Cricetulus griseus: one gene and its partners. The protein of the gene in region 1 interacts with the protein of each later gene in a pairwise test. Links are inferred from orthologs where the notes say so. Each region holds a gene or a part of one and is shown in the gene's direction. Other genes may lie near its edges. The genes, in order: Snrpa, leukocyte receptor cluster member 8 homolog, Qki and Trir.

What was found.
Region 2: the proteins of Snrpa (region 1) and leukocyte receptor cluster member 8 homolog interact in binary tests that used the Homo sapiens proteins (3 or more experiments, as listed by UniProt). The two-hybrid records come from large-scale screens. The link is inferred for Cricetulus griseus from reciprocal best matches to the Homo sapiens genes SNRPA and LENG8.
Region 3: the proteins of Snrpa (region 1) and Qki interact in binary tests that used the Homo sapiens proteins (3 or more experiments, as listed by UniProt). The link is inferred for Cricetulus griseus from reciprocal best matches to the Homo sapiens genes SNRPA and QKI.
Region 4: the proteins of Snrpa (region 1) and Trir interact in binary tests that used the Homo sapiens proteins (3 or more experiments, as listed by UniProt). The link is inferred for Cricetulus griseus from reciprocal best matches to the Homo sapiens genes SNRPA and TRIR.

What each region holds. Positions count from the first base shown.
Region 1 is NC_048602.1:8,724,498-8,728,793, forward strand, and holds the start of Snrpa (U1 small nuclear ribonucleoprotein A), read left to right. Parts: upstream 1-1,495; 5' UTR 1,496-1,636; intron 1,637-2,098; 5' UTR 2,099-2,120; coding exon 2,121-2,193; intron 2,194-3,965; coding exon 3,966-4,138; intron 4,139-4,296. Other genes in the region: CUNH19orf54 (UPF0692 protein C19orf54 homolog), read right to left, coding at 249-541. UniProt on the Homo sapiens protein: Component of the spliceosomal U1 snRNP, which is essential for recognition of the pre-mRNA 5' splice-site and the subsequent assembly of the spliceosome. U1 snRNP is the first snRNP to interact with pre-mRNA.
Region 2 is NC_048602.1:22,406,921-22,411,009, forward strand, and holds the start of leukocyte receptor cluster member 8 homolog, read left to right. Parts: upstream 1-1,274; 5' UTR 1,275-1,416; intron 1,417-3,786; 5' UTR 3,787-3,841; coding exon 3,842-3,879; intron 3,880-4,089.
Region 3 is NC_048595.1:290,489,467-290,493,525, forward strand, and holds the start of Qki (protein quaking), read left to right. Parts: upstream 1-1,227; 5' UTR 1,228-1,271; coding exon 1,272-1,413; intron 1,414-4,059. UniProt on the Homo sapiens protein: RNA reader protein, which recognizes and binds specific RNAs, thereby regulating RNA metabolic processes, such as pre-mRNA splicing, circular RNA (circRNA) formation, mRNA export, mRNA stability and/or translation.
Region 4 is NC_048596.1:159,339,298-159,343,470, reverse strand, and holds the start of Trir (telomerase RNA component interacting RNase), read left to right. Parts: upstream 1-1,371; 5' UTR 1,372-1,443; coding exon 1,444-1,779; intron 1,780-4,173. Other genes in the region: ATPase GET3, read right to left, coding at 1-4. UniProt on the Homo sapiens protein: Exoribonuclease that is part of the telomerase RNA 3' end processing complex and which has the ability to cleave all four unpaired RNA nucleotides from the 5' end or 3' end with higher efficiency for purine bases.

The sequences.
Region 1 (4,296 bases):
CACCCTGGCTACTCTGGGAATCGCTGTCTGGAAGGGCAGAGGCACTATCACTGGCTTAGAACCAAGAATGAGCAGGAGCTGCTCTCTCTATTGCTAGAGGCCAAGCAGGGAAGAGCTAGGTAGGAGGCTTAAGGCACCTGGCTGCTTGAGATCAAGGAAATGGGAACCCTGGGAGATGGGGTAGGCGGGGTGATTTGGAGACAGGTGGTTGGATGAGTCCTGGGGTGCTGGGGGTTTGCAAACCCTACCGGTCCTTGTGCAGCATCAGGAGCCTCTTTACGTCTTCTCTGCCTTTGGGGACTGGGCCAGCCTTCTCCAAGGCCTCCTTCAGGAGCCGGCTCTTCTCCAGGCCGTAGACATGAGGGGAAACAACCTCCACAGCCAAGGGTGGGGGTGGGGGTGGAGGCGGCGGCGGCGGCGGGACAGAAGGGGATGGCGAAGCTAAGTCCAGGGTACTTGGGGGTAAAGGAGGTGGAATGCTGGCGTCTTGGGGTTCGGGGATTACTGGGGGGACTGTGGGCTTTAAGGGGAAAGACGTCATGTCGGGTCTTCAGGAAGAGCTGATGTGAGGGTGAGAAGGGGGATCCTCTCAAATCTCTCAAGGATGGAGACTTCAGTTTTTAGAGCAACTGGATGTGGTATTCACATGTGGCCCGCACATAGAAACCTGTATTAAAAATTACAAAGAGTTTAAAAAAAAAATTAGAGTTGAATTGCAGAATACGGTGCCTGACCAGTTGGTCTGGGAGAACCTGGGTGGGTATTTCAAACCGTGGGAACAGAAACTGGGCTGAATCAAATGACGAAGAAGAAGGCTCCCCCAAGGTGCGGGCTGTGCCATGGGGATGGAGCGACATTGGGAGGGACTAGAGCTAGCTAGTTTTCTTCATTTCCGTAATCAGGGGGCTCAGATCGGGGGGGGGGGGAGTAAGGCGTGGGGTAACCGGCCTCATCTCACATCTCTGTAATCAGGGGGCTGAGATCGGGGGTAAGGCGTGGGGTAACCCGCCTCATCTCACATCTCAGGGCGCTCAGATCGGGGGTAAGGCGTGGGGTAACCCGCCTCATCTCACATCTCCGGCTCGAGTCTGCAACCTTAGGGTCGATCTTAGGAGCTTAGAGGTCATGAGGTTAAAAGGGCACGCGGCTGGGAAAGCAGCCTAGCGGTGGGCAGCGGTCAGAGTTGACAGCAGGCACAGCGGTCAAGGGTCGCCTAAGGAGCGGGAACTTAGGAACTTGTACACGCTCCCCGCGGAGGGAAACGAGCGGCCTTGACCCGGCCAGGCTCTCCCGACGCGGCCCGGCGGCCACGTGACCCCCCCCCCCCCCGGTACTGGCGGAAGGGGAAGAGGCGTGGCTTCGGAGAGGGCAGCCTGCGCTGGCGCGCTAGCGAGGTCCCGATTGGCCCAGAGCTCGTCGCCTCCTTTGATTGGTCTGCTCACCTGGGGAGGGGGCGGGGACTAGTGCTGAGGCGGGAAGCCGCGTGTCCCTTTCGCGGGCGGGCGCTGAGGCCGGGGAAGAGGCTCTCACTCGGGGCGGTCGCCGCCTGCCGAGTTCGCGCGCCGTCAGCGTCTCGCGGCCGGGGACGGGAAGCTGTGTGTCCGAGCGGAGTGGCGTGGCAGGCGCGGCGGTCCAGGTGGTGAATTCCCGCGGTGGAGACGCCCGCGGGCGCTGGGGAGGCGGGCGGAGCACTTGGCGTCGGGCCTTCGGCCGCGTCGCTTCCGGAGGCCCCTCTTGGAGAGACGAAGGTGTCCCAAATCGGTCCCTGCTGTCTTAACTGGCTCCCACATCCGGGTTCCTTTTTTTTTTTTTTTTTTCCTCCTTGGACGCCGTTCGAGCGCGTGGACCAATGGGGATCGCCGCTGGGTACAGGCTCGCAGAGCATTCTGGGATTCGTAGTCCTCCCCCCCCCCAGCACGCGGGCTGGAGAAGCGGAGTCCTACGCGGGCTTTGTTGCCAAGCTGTGCCATTCTTCCCCAATTCCGGTCTCACCCAACTTCCTCCTGGAAGGATCCCTGAGCAGAGCCCGTCAGCCCCCTGAACAGAGAGTTTTGGAAAGCGTTAGAGAGCTGAAGTCGCCTCTTTTTCTCCCTTTAAGCCGTTTCTGAGCATCTGACACCATGGCAGTTCCTGAGACCCGTCCCAACCACACTATTTATATCAACAACCTCAATGAGAAGATCAAGAAGGATGGTAAGTCCTCCGGGATAGCCCGGAACTCTAGGTGATCTCGCATGAGCTGACCCCTTCCACCTCTAGCGCCCACTTTCCTTTCTCAGCCTTGCCATTGAGTCCTTTAAGAGTTAACTTTGGCCTTTTGTACCTACTGAGCCCTTGGTTCTCAATACACCCTTAACCACTTTACACTCTGCTCTTTAACCTGCACACTGTCGATAATCTTCAAGGTTTTAGCTCACCGGCCCTTCCTTTCTGGGAAGCCCTTTGGGATCTTTCTCTCCCTCAAGCCCAGCGCAGTCTGCTATCATGAGACTGTCTCTTGGCCACTGGCCTCTGGGCGTTGGTCTTGGTGATGAGTTACGATGCAAAGAACGTATAGAAGTGACGGGTAATGAATGCTATGTAACAATGTTCTGTAGTCTTGGAGATATTTAATTCTCAACAAGCCTCTCAAGATTAAGAAATTGGAATTTGGGTGGTAGTACTTGCCCGTGATCAAATACCAAGAAAAAAATGGTTGGGACACAAGTGTGCGGTTCTGTTAAGCAAATTCTTGAACTGCTTGAATGGCAGATGGCTGTAATTCTGTTACTTAGGGAAAGGGACTCCCAGAGTAACTCCCAGATGGCTGCATGATCACAATGAGTGAAAAAGATACCAAAGACAGTTTCTTTGGGTGTGGTGGTGTAGGCCTGTAATCCCAGTACTCAGGAGACTGAGACAGGAGAATCTTGACTTCAGACCAGCCCAGGGTACATAGCAAGACCCTGACTCCAAAAGGTCTGAGGAATACAAGTAGTCTTGCCTAGCATGGGTAAGGCTCTGGGTTCTGAACCTCAGCAACTAAGAAACCTACTTGGCCTGGTGAGATGGCTCAGTGGTTAAGAGTACTGCCTGCTCTTCCAGAAGACCTGAGTTTGATTCCTAGCACTCAAGGGAGGTTTATAATGTGTAACTCCAGTTCCAGGGCATATGACATCCTCTTCTAGCATCTGCAGGCAAAATAACCCACGCACATAAAATAAAAATATTTTGGGCTGGCTCACGCCTTTAATCCCACCACTTGGGAGGCAGAGGCAGGCAGATCTCTGAGTTTGAGGTTGGCCTGGTCTACAGAGTTAGTTCCGGATGGGGGGGGGCGTGGAGGGTGTCAGGGGAGGAGGGGGGGGGGGAGAAAGGGACCTGGGATTGACATGTAATTTTCTTCCTAATTAAAATAAAAAAAAAAACCAAAAACCTTGTCTCAAAACAACTATATATTTAAAGGTTGTACAATTTTTATTTGTTTATTGTGTATACAACATTCTGCTTCTGTGTATGTCTGCACACCAGAAGAGGGCACCAGATCTCATAACGGATGGTTGTGAGCCACCATGTGGTTGCTGGGAATTGAACTCAGGACCTCTGGAAGAGCGGTCGGTGCTCTTAACCTCTGAGCCATCTCTCCAGTCCCAAGGTTGTACAATTTTAAACAAAACCCCACACCAAATAATTCCGTTCTTGCCTGGAAGTAAGGTCCTGGAGTAGAATGTTTACTTTTCTACAAAGGCTGAATTCTAGCACACATACAAATAGTAAACAGAAGCAAGTATTTTTATGTATTTATTGTGTGTGTGTGTGTGTGTGTGTATGAATGTGGGTTGTAGTGCTGTAGCATTCTGGGTAATTTGTCACTTGGCAGTGGCCCCTTGTTTGAACTGTTCATCATCCAAGGATAGTTAGTGCAGGTCCCAGGACACAGTGCCCAGGCCTTTTGTTACAGTGTGTCTTGTTTTCCCTGAATGCAGAGCTCAAGAAGTCCCTGTATGCCATCTTCTCCCAGTTTGGCCAGATCCTGGATATCCTGGTGTCTCGGAGCCTGAAGATGAGGGGCCAGGCCTTTGTCATCTTCAAGGAGGTCAGCAGCGCCACGAATGCCCTGCGTTCCATGCAGGGTTTCCCCTTCTACGACAAGCCCATGGTGAGCATCTTGACTATGGAGGCTGTAGGAAGCTGGGTGGGTGTGGCCTGTAGTGTTCCGTGAGGATGCTACTTTTCTTGCTTGGTCCTTTACTTTCAGTGTTCCTTAATCTGGGGCTGTGGGGACACAAAATGATCAAGACACTGAGCATGATGGCT
Region 2 (4,089 bases), about 14 Mb from region 1:
AACGCTCCCGGCACGCAGAAAACATTAATGAAAAAAGCATTGAAGTCTAAGTGAAATCTGCGGCTTAGTGCAGAGTATTAAAGCAATGTCAGTTTCTTACTTTTAACCAATAAACCGTGGTGAATCCGAGGTGGTAGCAATAGGGGAAACTGGGCACACACTACACCTAACTCCTGTATTATCTCTGCAACTTTTTTCCCCTGTAAACCCAAATTTATTCTAAAATAAAAGTTCATTATTAAAAAAAACACGAAAGAGACACACACAGAGAGAGAGAGAGAGAGAGAGAGAGAGAGAGAGAGAGAGAGAGAGAGATGGGAAGAAACCCTAGCGTGCTAATAGTAACAAAATGATACAAAGCTATTTGTGTTGCATAGTTGCCAAAAGTCGCCAGTACCAACTGGGAGCAGAAGCCGGGCTGTAAGGTACTGTTTCATTGACTGATTTTAACAGGGATCCCCTACTGGGACGGCACAATTCAATCATTGCTGTTGTAAACTGAGAGCTTTAAGGAAAGCCTATTGTGAGCTGGGCGTTGGTGGCGATGCTCGCCTTTAATCCCAGCACTGGGGAGGCAGAGGCAGAGGCAGGGGGATCTCTGTGAGTTCGAGATCAGCCTGGTCTACAGGGCGGGTTCCAGGATAGGCTCCAAAGCTACACAGAGAAACCGTATCTCAAAAACCAAAAAATAAAAAGACAAAAAAAAAAAAAAAAAAATCCTACTGTGAGCCGGCTCTGTAGGCTTCCTCTCCCTACACCTGCGCCCCAGCTACCTTTCCGGCGTCGCAGCCCCGAGGCTCCTCCGGCTCCTCAATGGATGGCTTGTTTCCCGCTTGCTTGGGCTCGCACTCACTGTTGCCCACGCCAGCCAGGTTTACTCACTCAGCAAAGCCTACCGGGTGGGGAAGACTCATCCCCAAGACAGACTCAAAGACTCATCCCACTCCTTTAAACACAGACAGACAGACAGACAAACAAACTAAGCCGTGGCGCTGCACAGCTCACGACTAAAGACTAGGCTCCAAACTAGACCGTCTTAACCGCGAGCGCCCGCGGCGCTTGTCCCCACGGGGCCGCCGTCCACGCCCCGCTTCCGGCTCGCCCACCAAACGCCCACACGCTTGCCCGGGCGTGGGCGGGGCGCGCCGGGCGGAGGGCGGGGTCCCCGAGCGAGCCGTGACACCCCATTGGCTGTGCGCGGCGCCGGGTGAGGGCGGGGGCGGGGGCGGGCGGGCGTCGGGACGGCCGGAGGGCGAGGCGTCGCGGGGCGGGGCGGGGCGTCGCGGTGACGCCATCGCGTCGCGGCCAGGACGTTGCAGCCCCAGCCGAGCCGGCCGGTGACCGAGCGCTTTTCGCGGTTGTCTTGTCGCCGCCTTGGTGGCCGCCGGTGACGAACCCCGGGAGCGAGCGGCCCTGGTGAGTGTGAGGAGCGGCGGGGACGGACGGGCGGGCGGGACGGGCGGGCGCAGGCAACTCCTCCCGGCGCCGCTCCCGGCGAGCCCGGGCCTGCTGGGGGAGCCTAACCGACGCCGCACCCAGCCTCCGCCAAGGGTGTGGCCGCCGCGCATGCGCGCTGTGCGGTGACGGGAGGGGGGGGAGGGGGTTGAGGCGGGGGGGGGTCGGGCGAGGCGCGCGCGCGCGTAACCGGCGGGCCCCTCCCCCTCGCCGCCCCCGCGCGTGCGCACACGCGCCCCTGGGCGGCCCCGCCCCTCCCCATTGACCGGCTGTTACGCGCGCCGCCCCGTTGCCCCGGGCAACCCGGAGCGAGGCCCTCGGGCGGCGTGGTGGTGCGCAGGCGCGGCCGGGCCGGGCTGGTGGATGCTGGCTGCTGCTGGCTGCTGGCTGCTGGCCGCGGACGGGCGGGGACCGGGGCTGGCAGCTTGGGGGGCGTCGCGTGGGTTCAGGGCGGCCTCTGTCTCCTCCACCGGGTGTCGGGGACCCCCGTGCCTGCGGGACAGCCAGGTGCTCCTGAGTCTTTGTAATAAGAGCCCGTGTCGTCCTTGCCCGTCAGACCCCTTGTCCCCCTCCCACCCCAGGCCTCACTCCTGATGCTCTCCCGCCTGCACCCCGAGTTCTGACACCCCCACCCCCGGCTCCACCCAACAGTCATTTGTTTATTTATTTATTTAGAAAGCTCTCTGAGGCCTGTCTATTTATTTATTTATTCAGAAAGCTCTCTGAGGCCTGTCTTATTTATTTATTTAGAAAGCTCTCTGAGGCCTGTCGTATTTATTTATTTATTTAGAAAGCTCTCTGAGGCCTGTCATATTTATTTATTTATTTAGAGAGCTCTCTGAGGCCTGATTGATTGATTGATTGATTTAGAAAGCTCTTTGAGGCCTGTCATATTTATTTATTTATTTTAGAAAGCTCGTTGAGGCCTTTCAGCGCTCCTTAGGCTTCCTGTAAGATACCGGGTTCTTCAATGGACTTATTCTCTGTAAATCCTATCGTTTGGGTCCCCGGAGCCCCCCTCCCCCCAGTCTTTTTCACGTTTCTTTCAGGACTGTCCACCGTCCAGTCCATGTACACACAACACACACACACACACACACACACACACACACACACACACACACACACACACACACACACACACACACACACACACACACGTACATAGTCCTACCCACAGGGGCATCCTGGAAGGAAGGAAGGAAGGAAGAAAGGAAGGGTTATCTGCAGACACCCTCCCCAAGGGGTTGCCTGTTGTTTCTCCCAGAGCAGCTCCTGTGCCTAGGAACAACCCATACTGGGTTTCCTCTCTGTCCTCTGGGGACTCGAATTGCTTGAGGTGCTGACAGCCAGTGCCTCCTTCCCACAGGGAGAGCCTTCCCCACCTCCCCTTTGTGAAGCTCCTCAGTGGGATCCAGAGAGGTCCCTTTCCTTGGGGGAACTTGGCTCTGTTCTCCAGTGTTCTCCTCGAAGTCTCCGCTCCATGCTCCTTAGAAACTTGAGTCTTGCCAGACTTCTGGATAGCTAATACTTTATTGACTGATTATTAAGACTTTACTTGCTGGGATGCCTTCCTCCCACCGCCACCAGCCCAGAATCCCTGTCAAAGCCCAGGTGGTGGTGAGGCAGAGGCAGGCGGATCCATGTCAGTACTCTGGGGATTCTCTTTAGATCCCTGCCCAGGACTGAGGTCTCCCCATCCATCCCCGGGCCTGGGTTCCCCTCATCTGCTCTTCGAATGACAGTTTCACCATCTCCTCTGTCTTTTATTCTGACACCCTGTGTTTTAGGGAATTCAGTGTCTTCATGCTCAAGGCTCTTTGTTCCACTCTTTTGGCTGTTTGTTTTAGAGACAGGATTTCAACACTTGACCAAGCAGGGCCCTCAACTCCCAAAGAGTGCTGGGATTGCAGACATAGGTTACGGTGCTTGAATTCTCTTTCACACTTTGCCAGTGCTTCCTTCTGTGAGATACTCTGTCTTTCCTGCCTGTTCTTTTTATGGGATCCAACATACTCGCTTCTTTGGGTCTTCCTAACTCATCTTTTTTCTTTTCTTTTTGTTTTTTGTTTTGTTTTGTTTTTTTTTTTTTTTTTTTTGTTTTGTTTTTTGTTTTTCAAGGCAGGGTTTCTGTGGCTTTGGAGACTATCCGGGAACTAGTTCTAGTAGACCAGGCTGGTCTCAAACTCACAGAGATCCCTCTGCCTCTGCCTCTGCCTCTGCCTCTGCCTCTGCCTCTGCCTCTGCCTCTGCCTCTGCCTCTGCCTCCCGAGTGCTGGGATTAAAGGCGTGTGCCACCAATGCTGGCCTAACTCATCTTTTCTCTTACAGACAGTGAAAAAGCAGTCTGGCTCCCGAGGTCTACCCCCTACACCCCAAGGTCCAGATGGCGGCCAACGTGGGTGATCAGCGCAGCGCAGATTGGTTAGTAGGGCTAAGGGAAACACAGCCCATTTTGGTAGGAAAGAGGAGCAAGACACAATGGGACCTGTACCTGCCTGGAAAAAGAAATCCATATTCTGGGGGCTAGGATGAGCTTTCCATGGCGGGTGGGGCATTCATACACACGGAGGTCAGAAGAGGCATTAGATCCCTTGGAGCTGAAGTTAGAGGTGTCTGTGAGCCACCTGACAT
Region 3 (4,059 bases), on another chromosome or scaffold:
ACCCCGCCCGCCCCGCCGGGTGGGCGCCGCGCCAGAACGGTTCCGGCCCGCTTCTCGGTCCAGAGGCCACCGCCGCTGCCCCCCCTCGCCCCCCACGCAGGCGCGCTCTCCGGCCGATAGGGCGGGGCGACCCTCGGAAGGGGCGTGGCCACAGCCCTCGACGCGCGCACGCGCCCTCGGCCTCACGGCTACGTGTCGGGCCACGTGATGCCCACCCGAGAGTGCCCCCAGTGAAGCAACAGGACGTTAAAAAAAAAAAAAATTCTCCTTTTTTTCTTTTCCTGAGGGGTGGCGAGGAAGGTGGACGAAGAGGTTTTAAAAAAAAAAAGAGAGAGAAAAAAATCCCCTCAAACTATAGTAACGCGCCGAGAGGCGAGGCCAGGGCGGCGGCGAGCGCAGCGCCCGCGCATAGTCCCGCCGGAATTCCTCTCAGCCGACGCGCCCGACCGCGCCCGCCGCCTCAGCAACAGCGCGCCGACGAGCCAGCGCCGCCGCCCGCGTCCCCTCAGCCGCGACCCCGGCCCCGCGCAGGCCGCCGCAGCCGGCGCGCGTCCCCCTCAGCCGCGGCCCGGCCCTCGGCCACCAGCCGGCCGTCCGTCCGTCCCGCCCGAGCGGCCAGGGGCAGGGGCGCCGGCGGCGGCGGGGGGCGGGAGCGCGCCTAGCCCCGTAACGGCCGCCCTGCGCGCCCGGCCCGCCGCCCGCCCCCGGCCCTGCCCGCGCCCCTCCCCCCGCCGCCGCCGGCAGCGCCGCCTGAACTGAGGCGAACTCCGCCGCCAAGTGAGTGAGGAGGAGGAGAGCCGCGGAGGAAGAGGAGGAGCGGCAGTCGGAGCGGCGGCGGCGGCGGCGGCAACGCGGGGGCGCCGCGGCGGACAGCACCGCAGACTCGCGAGCTTCGGCGCAGGCGGCGCGACCGGCCGACGAGCGGCCCCTCGACTCCTCGCGGCGCAGCGGCCCCGCGCCGCGCTCGGCCCCGAGACCCGCCTCCGCCGCCGGCCTCGCGAGGGGAGCCGCGCCGGGCGGCCGAGGAGCGGCGGCCGCGGCGCGTCGGGCCGGGCGAAAGTGCCTGCGGGGGGGCGGGCGGGCGCGCGGAGCCGGCCGCCCCGGGGCTCGGCGCGGGAGCCGGAGCGGAGTCGGCGCGGAGCGGGACGCCGCGTCCGAGCGGCCGGCGGCCGGAGCTCGCCCCGCCCCTCCCTCCTCTCCTCCTCCTCTCTCCTCCTCCGGCGGCGCGCGGCGGCGGCGGCGCGGGCGGAGTGAGCTGCGGAGCCTGGAATATGGTCGGGGAAATGGAAACGAAGGAGAAGCCGAAGCCCACCCCAGATTACTTGATGCAGCTGATGAACGACAAGAAGCTCATGAGCAGCCTGCCCAACTTCTGCGGGATCTTCAACCACCTCGAGCGGCTGCTGGACGAAGGTGAGCCTCTCGACCCCCGCGGGCGAGCGGGCGGGCGCGGCGGCCCGGGATGGCGGGGCGGCGGGAAGGTCAGGCGGGCGGGCGCACAAAGGCGGCGCGGGCGGCTCGCGGCGGGTCGGGGCCAGGGCCGGGGCAGGCCCGAGGGCGGACCCGGAGCTCGCGGGCGGCAGGGCGGCGGGGCGGCGGGGCTGCGGCCAGCTCCCGACGGCGCGGCAGATAGACACCCCGCCATCCCGACCGATCTGGCCGGGCCACGCGAGCTCTGCCTCGCCTCGCCCGCGGGGCCCCGGCTGGGGGTGCCCGTCTCAGTGGAGTTGTGTGGCCCGCGGTACAGGAGTGGACTCTTCGGGTGTCCACAGATTACGTAGGGTACCGAAAAGTAGTGCTTATGTGGCCGAAGGCGAGCACGAGCTGACACAGAGCACAGCACTTTTTTTGTCCTTTGTTTAGGGAAGCGAGAACTGTTTGGGAGTTTAACTTCACTTTTTTTTTTTTTTTTTGGGTGGCGGGGGGAGGAGTATGAAATACCGCGATGACAGACCTGAACGGAATCCGAGTTCGGAAGAACTCACTGGGGCGGAGGGTTAGCTCCAGGCGTAGCCGCCCGCGTCCCTGGGGCGGGGAGCTGGAAGTTTGAAAGGACGGGAATAAAATAGAGCGCAAGTTTGCAGAAGCCGAGTTGGGAGCGCTGCAGGGAGCGAAGAGTGGCTAGAAGATGCATGCTGGTCAGCTCTGGCAGTCCTCTAAGAACTTCTCTCAGCAGCGACCTGGAGTGTTAGTTCCCAGGAGCCGTGGGTTTCCGCGGATTCCCGGGGCGGCCTGTGGGGCAGGAGGACCAACAAGTCCGCTTTGAAAACCGTGTAGCGGGGAGTTTCCCTTTTGTTTTTAAAAGTCTCCAGGCGGGGGGCTGTCTGAAGGAAGCGGAAAACTGTGCTGATGTGCGGATGAACAGTGGATTTTAGCATCTTGAGAAGAATCTCGAAATATTTTCAAATACAGCTAGAGAAATCAAAATTTATGCTCAAGGAGCAGGCATATCAGGGAAGAACAAAAGACTTTGAATACCTCCGAGCTAAGAGCGAGCTTCTTTTGGGTGGGGAGCCATAGGCAGGACTTGAGGCAGAAAGCGCTCAGTTATGACGCCTGAACATGCATACAACAGTAACAAGTCGAAAGGGACATTTCCTACTTTTGGGTCCGCGTGTCTGTTAGTCTCAGACGCCTCGGAGGAAAGTTGTGCTGCCCCTTTAAGGGGTTTTGCCTATTTGTGTTGGCATTTGAAAGATTGTGGAGGCAGAAAACTTTCTGGAATGTCAAAAAAAAAAAAAAAAAAAAAAAAAAAAAAGGAGGGTGTGTGTGTGCTGGAACTCTTCAATTGAGTATTTCCAAATGTGAGCGCTAAGGGGCGCCAGCTATTTTTTTTTAACCTTGGAATGTTTGGAACAAAATGTCTAGCATGCTTAAAAATCTGACCTATATTAAGTTCAGTAGAAATTTAAATTTTAGGTGACTTCACCTGTCATTATTTATCCACAAATGTGATTTCAGAGACAACACCTAATTTACTGTTATTTTTTCACTTGGTGTGTTGTTTTCATGGTATTACTGTGAAATTTATGATGAAAATTATAGTTTTTTAAAAGTACAGTGTATGGGGAATCTCTTACACGCCTAGACAGCATTTAAAATGGATTAATATGCATTCTTAAAGTTCTCCGTATACTCAAGTGACATATTGAGATCATAAAAAGTTTGGAAATACTATAGGAGTTTCCTCGATTAGTTGTAAAAGGCTGCTCATGTAGTCTTTCAGACTGATCAGATATAACCACCTTAGTTTGAGGTTGGCATAAGTCAGCTGGAGGAATTTCAATTATGTCATTATTTCTGCACAGGCTTGTTTATTACTCTCTAGTTAGAAATAGTAACCCTTTGTGTTCCAAATGTAAAAGAAAGCTAGTTTAGGATTACAGTATTCAAAATAATATTTGTTTCTTTCCTTTTCCTGTTTTCTCCATCTTTCACCTCAGTCTGCCTTCTGTACTCAGGAGTCTGCATTAGGCCAGTATACAGAGAACTTCCATGCTTGTAGGTAGTGTGTTTACAATAGACCTCAGAATGAATAGGAAGTGTGATTGTTTTAATCATATCAGAGCAAATGTTGCAGGACAGGGGCTAGTCCTTAATGTGTTATAAGCCTTTTCCTGTACTTGCTAGTCTTATTATAAATTTAATTTGACTTGAAAATACTGGTTTCTTAAGTGCAAGATCATAATTTTCTTGCTAGATGACTTAATTGTGAAAATTGGCAACTTGTGCTTTACCCCCTTGTGGCCTCTCATTGTCCAAAAACAAATTAATCATGACTTGTGTTTGTGGTTAGGGATTACACTCTCCTTTGTCTGTAATGCTTGGCAGAAAGATTACTTTTAAATTCAGATAAAACTAAGTTTCACTTTAGGGATTAAATTGTTCAATGGCATTGAGATATTCTATTCTCTGATAGTTAGAAATTTTGAATGGGACTGTCTAGCAATTTTATTTTTAAAATACTTTCAAGCAGTGAGCTTTTAATATAGTTCCTGTTTGAGAATTTTCAGTTGACTAACAACTTTGGGAATGAAGTGTTCTTTTTTTTTTTCTTCT
Region 4 (4,173 bases), on another chromosome or scaffold:
CCATCTTGGAGCCGGCTCACGTGATCAAGCGGAACGCACCACGTCCTAAGCAACTACAGGGGAAATGAGTCTGCCACATCCCTGTGCAGGCTGGAAGTCTGACTTATTTTCCTCCTGAGTTGACACTTGGGGACAATGGACGCTGTATTTTCCCGTTTTATGCGTCGAAGGTTCCCCTTGGTGAACTTTCGCCTGCAGTTTTCTAAGAATTCCCCTGCCTTGTGAGCGTAGTGGTGTGACCCACGGTAGTGCCCTTCACTGATTGGGTCCTCCGTCTTGCGGCACTCTTTCCATTGGCTGCATCCCGTCTTACTTCCGCTAGCCACGCTCAAGTCCCTGTGGGCGTCAACCTCTGTCTCCTTAGCAACCAGCCAAACATCCTGTCTAAGCTCTTTGAACGAAGTTACAGCAGAGGTGTCTCTTGCCTCGATTCTATAGGCTCCGTTTCCTGATTATCTTTTCCCTCTTTCTTTCTGCTTTGGACCTCAACGTCTCTTCTTGTCCGCCAGTTACTCTGTTGGCTGTGAGCCACCTGACTCCGGCCGCAAAACGATCACGAACGAAATGGTTAGTAGGGTCGCTAAAAGGCAAAGAGACTCCATTTGTGGCAGAGCACGCAGACCTTTGTCCCGTGTGCCCGGAATACCCATGCTGGGCAGGAGTGCTATTTGTCACAGTCGAGAGAACTTTAACTTCCGAAACTCTAGCTGCGCTTGGCGCTCTGCTCACCCCCATCCCCGTGCACACGTGTGTGCTCCAAGTCTAGCCAGTGCTGTCTGAACTGAGTCCCTGTCCTCGGGGAAGAGTACGAGGAGGGTTCTTAGTCCCTTGGTGCAGAACCCAGCTCAGAACATTAAGTCTTAAGAGAAGGATCAGGCTGGAAATATCTCCGGCTTCATTTGAGTGCTCAACTTGTAAAATACTACGACTCTCAGACAGGGCGTCTAGCTGCACGCAGCCAGCAGTATCCTTACTTAAAGGTAAGAGATTAAATGCCGAGGCAGATGCCCGGTCTAGAGAAGCTCCCGTTTCTAATAGGAGGTGCCGAGTCAGACAGATATGCTTTCTAGACCTAGTTAGGGGCCACCCAAGTTCCCAAGTGTACGCAAACAACATTCTTTCAATTACAGAGTTCTGGTGGCCGACTATGATTGTGCTCTCAGCCTTTAGAGGGATCGCGGGCCCCAGACGATGGTTCCATTCTGTCTGGCAGGATTAGGGAAATCCGAGGAACAGAAGGCAAGGAACCCGGCTTCTAGGCTCCACCCACTGGTCGCCAGGTCAGAGCACCTTTGCCCCGCCCAAGTCCCGCCCACTCCGCGTTGGCTTCTGGGATCAGACCTCTCTTCCCAGCATGCAGTGCTCCAGACGAAGCCAGTCCCGCGCCAAGCGCGCGGTCTGAGATCCTTTCCCGAAGTCCCTTGCGCGGCACCTGGCGACAAAATGGCTGCCCGAGGGAGACGGGCGGAGCCTCCGAGTCGGGAGGTGCCCGGCCCGGCGGGCGGCGGCAGGAGCCGATGGGCTGAGTCGGGGCCGGGAACGTCACCCGAGAGCGGGGACGACGAGGTGTCGGGCTCAAGTCCGGTGTCCGGTGGTGTGAACTTGTTCGCCAACGACGGCAGCTTCCTGGAGCTGTTCAAGCGGAAGATGGAGGAGGAGCAGCGGCAGCGGCAGGAGGAGCCACCCCCGGGCCCGCAGCGACCCGACCCATCGGCCTCCGCCGCGGCGGGCCCTGGGAATCCGAAGAGGAAGGGCGGCCCAGGCCCCACGCTCAGCTTCGTAAGGAGCCGCGGGGGTGGGGGCGGGCGCCGGGGCCCGTGTTGGCAGGGGGAGTCGGACCCGGGAAGGGGCGTCATGGTCCAAGGCAGTTCTCCGCCGGGATGCCCCGACGGTCCCGGTCGTTTGCTGAGAACGTTGTACCTGGATTCCGGACGAGAGGTGTTTCTGGGAGGTCGTGGGAACCCCCAGATCTTACTCGTGGAACCTGGGAACCGGGAATTGCATTGGAAGCAGCACTCTGGGGATAGGAGACCCTAGATGCTAGGATTCCTGTTTGATTTGTACCCAGACTTTGATTAGTGGGTACCCAAACACAATCTGGGGAAAAGGAAGGGACAAATTCAAATTTTGAGTCTGCTGCATTCGTTAGACTCAGACCACGGACCGTAGCCGGGCGTGGTGGCACACGCCTTGCAATACCAGCACTCCGGATTCAAGAAGATTGAGGATTGGAAAGTGAGATCCTGTCCGAATTAAACAAAACCAACCAACAAGAAAAAGCAAATCACTGACTTTGTGGCCTTAGGAAGATCATTCGATTCCTTTCTATATCATTTAACTATTTTCCGTTAATTGAGCACCTTGTGCTGGGTATTCAGTGGTGAATTTGACAGAAAAGATCGCTGTTTGTTTGGAGCCTGGGTTGCCTACCCTGATTTTCTGTAGTTCTAACAATTGCCGTAATTTCACCTTTTAATGTGAGTATTCCATAGAAAAGTCAGTACAGACTCTACAGAAAGAACTAGACCAGTGGTTCTCTATTGGGGACAAGTCTCCTCACCCTTGTGTATTTATTTGGTAAAGTCTGTAGACATTTTGGTTGTTAAAACTCTGAGAGGAGATGCTAGTGACATCTATGGGTAGGTACAAGGATGCTGTTCAATATCCTACAGTGCATGGGATAACAAAGAATGATCTAGCTGAAAATGTCTAGAGTACCAGGTTGAGGAGCTCTGAGTTAAATAAATTGGATATATAATTTTTGTTAGTTGTGAGCTTGCTTTGTCTCCGGTGTTGAGTTAGAGGTCCTATAGTGGGGAGGGAGAAATGTTGGTTTGAGGATGACATTGAGGGTCAAGTCCTGGATCCAGCTCTGTGGTTTGGGGCAAGGCTTAAGTTTCTTTAGCTCTTAAAAGGGTATGTGAGCCAGACAAGGCAATGCATATGTGTAATCAATCCTAGCACTGTGGAGGATGAGACAGGAGGATTGCAGAGTTTGAGTTCAGCCAAGGTTACATAGCAATAACTTGTTTCTAAAAACAACGAAAAGGCTATGTTTGAGTGGTTGGGTACAGTAGTGTGTTTCTATAATCTCGGCTACTCTGAGACCAGAGGATCTTAAGAACAGAATGAATTCAGAGCCAGCCTGAGCAATTTAGTGAGACCTGTCTTAAAATAAAATCAAGAGGTCTGGGAATTTAGCTCCATAGTAGATAGCTTCAAGTGCTTGAGACCCTAGATTGCATCTGCAGTGCTACACGAAAAGTTGTGATTGGGGAGGAGATAGTCCCAGCACTAACTGATGTCTAGTTGAAGGGTGAGTACAGGATGATGTCTTGGAGGCCCTCAGTTAAGGGGAGAAGATGGTTTACCAAGGTTCCCATCTGTTCTTAGAGGAAGTAGAAAGTGATAGGACTTAGGTTGATGTGATGTTTAAGAGTAGAGGATGAAATCTTTTCCAGGAATGGGAGCAGCAGTAGTGTTACTGTTATTTCTATTTGTTCAGGAGTAGCCATTATAGTTACACTCCTCAAAAAGCCAGGCCAGCTAGGTGGTGGTGGTGGTGGTGGTGGTGGTGGTGGTGGTGGTGGTGGTGGTGGTGGTGGTGGTGGTTCTGCTGCTGATGCTGCTGCTGATGCTGCCGCACGCCTTTAATCCCAGCATTGGAGGCAGAGGCAGGCAGATCTCTGAGTTCAAGGCCAGCCTGGTCTACAGAATGAGTTCCAGAACAACCAGGACTGTTTTATAGAGAAACCTTATCTTCAAAAAACAATAACAACAAAAAAGCAAGGCGGGAGATTTAGGGGTGTGGTTCAGGATGCTCCCACTGGCTTTGCACCACTGTATCCCTGGTTTTGCTCCCTTGTTTGCAGTCTGCCCTGTCCCTCCCAGACACTTGTCTCTATCTCTAAAAGTTACTATCTTTCAAATAATGTAACTGAATGTGAGAGGAGATACCATGGACACAGCACTCTGTGTGTGATATATAAGGCTGGGTATATAGTGAAGCTCAATAAAGGTATTGCCACCCATGTGATCCCTGCCAGGACAGGGTCAGGCCTGGGCAGAAAGAGTGAGGGCGTAGCCAGTCCCCAGTAAGGTGAGCACTCCTCTGGCCCCCTGGGAGGGTAGCCTGGGGCCCAGGACTGCCTGGGCATGGCAGCCCAGGGCAGG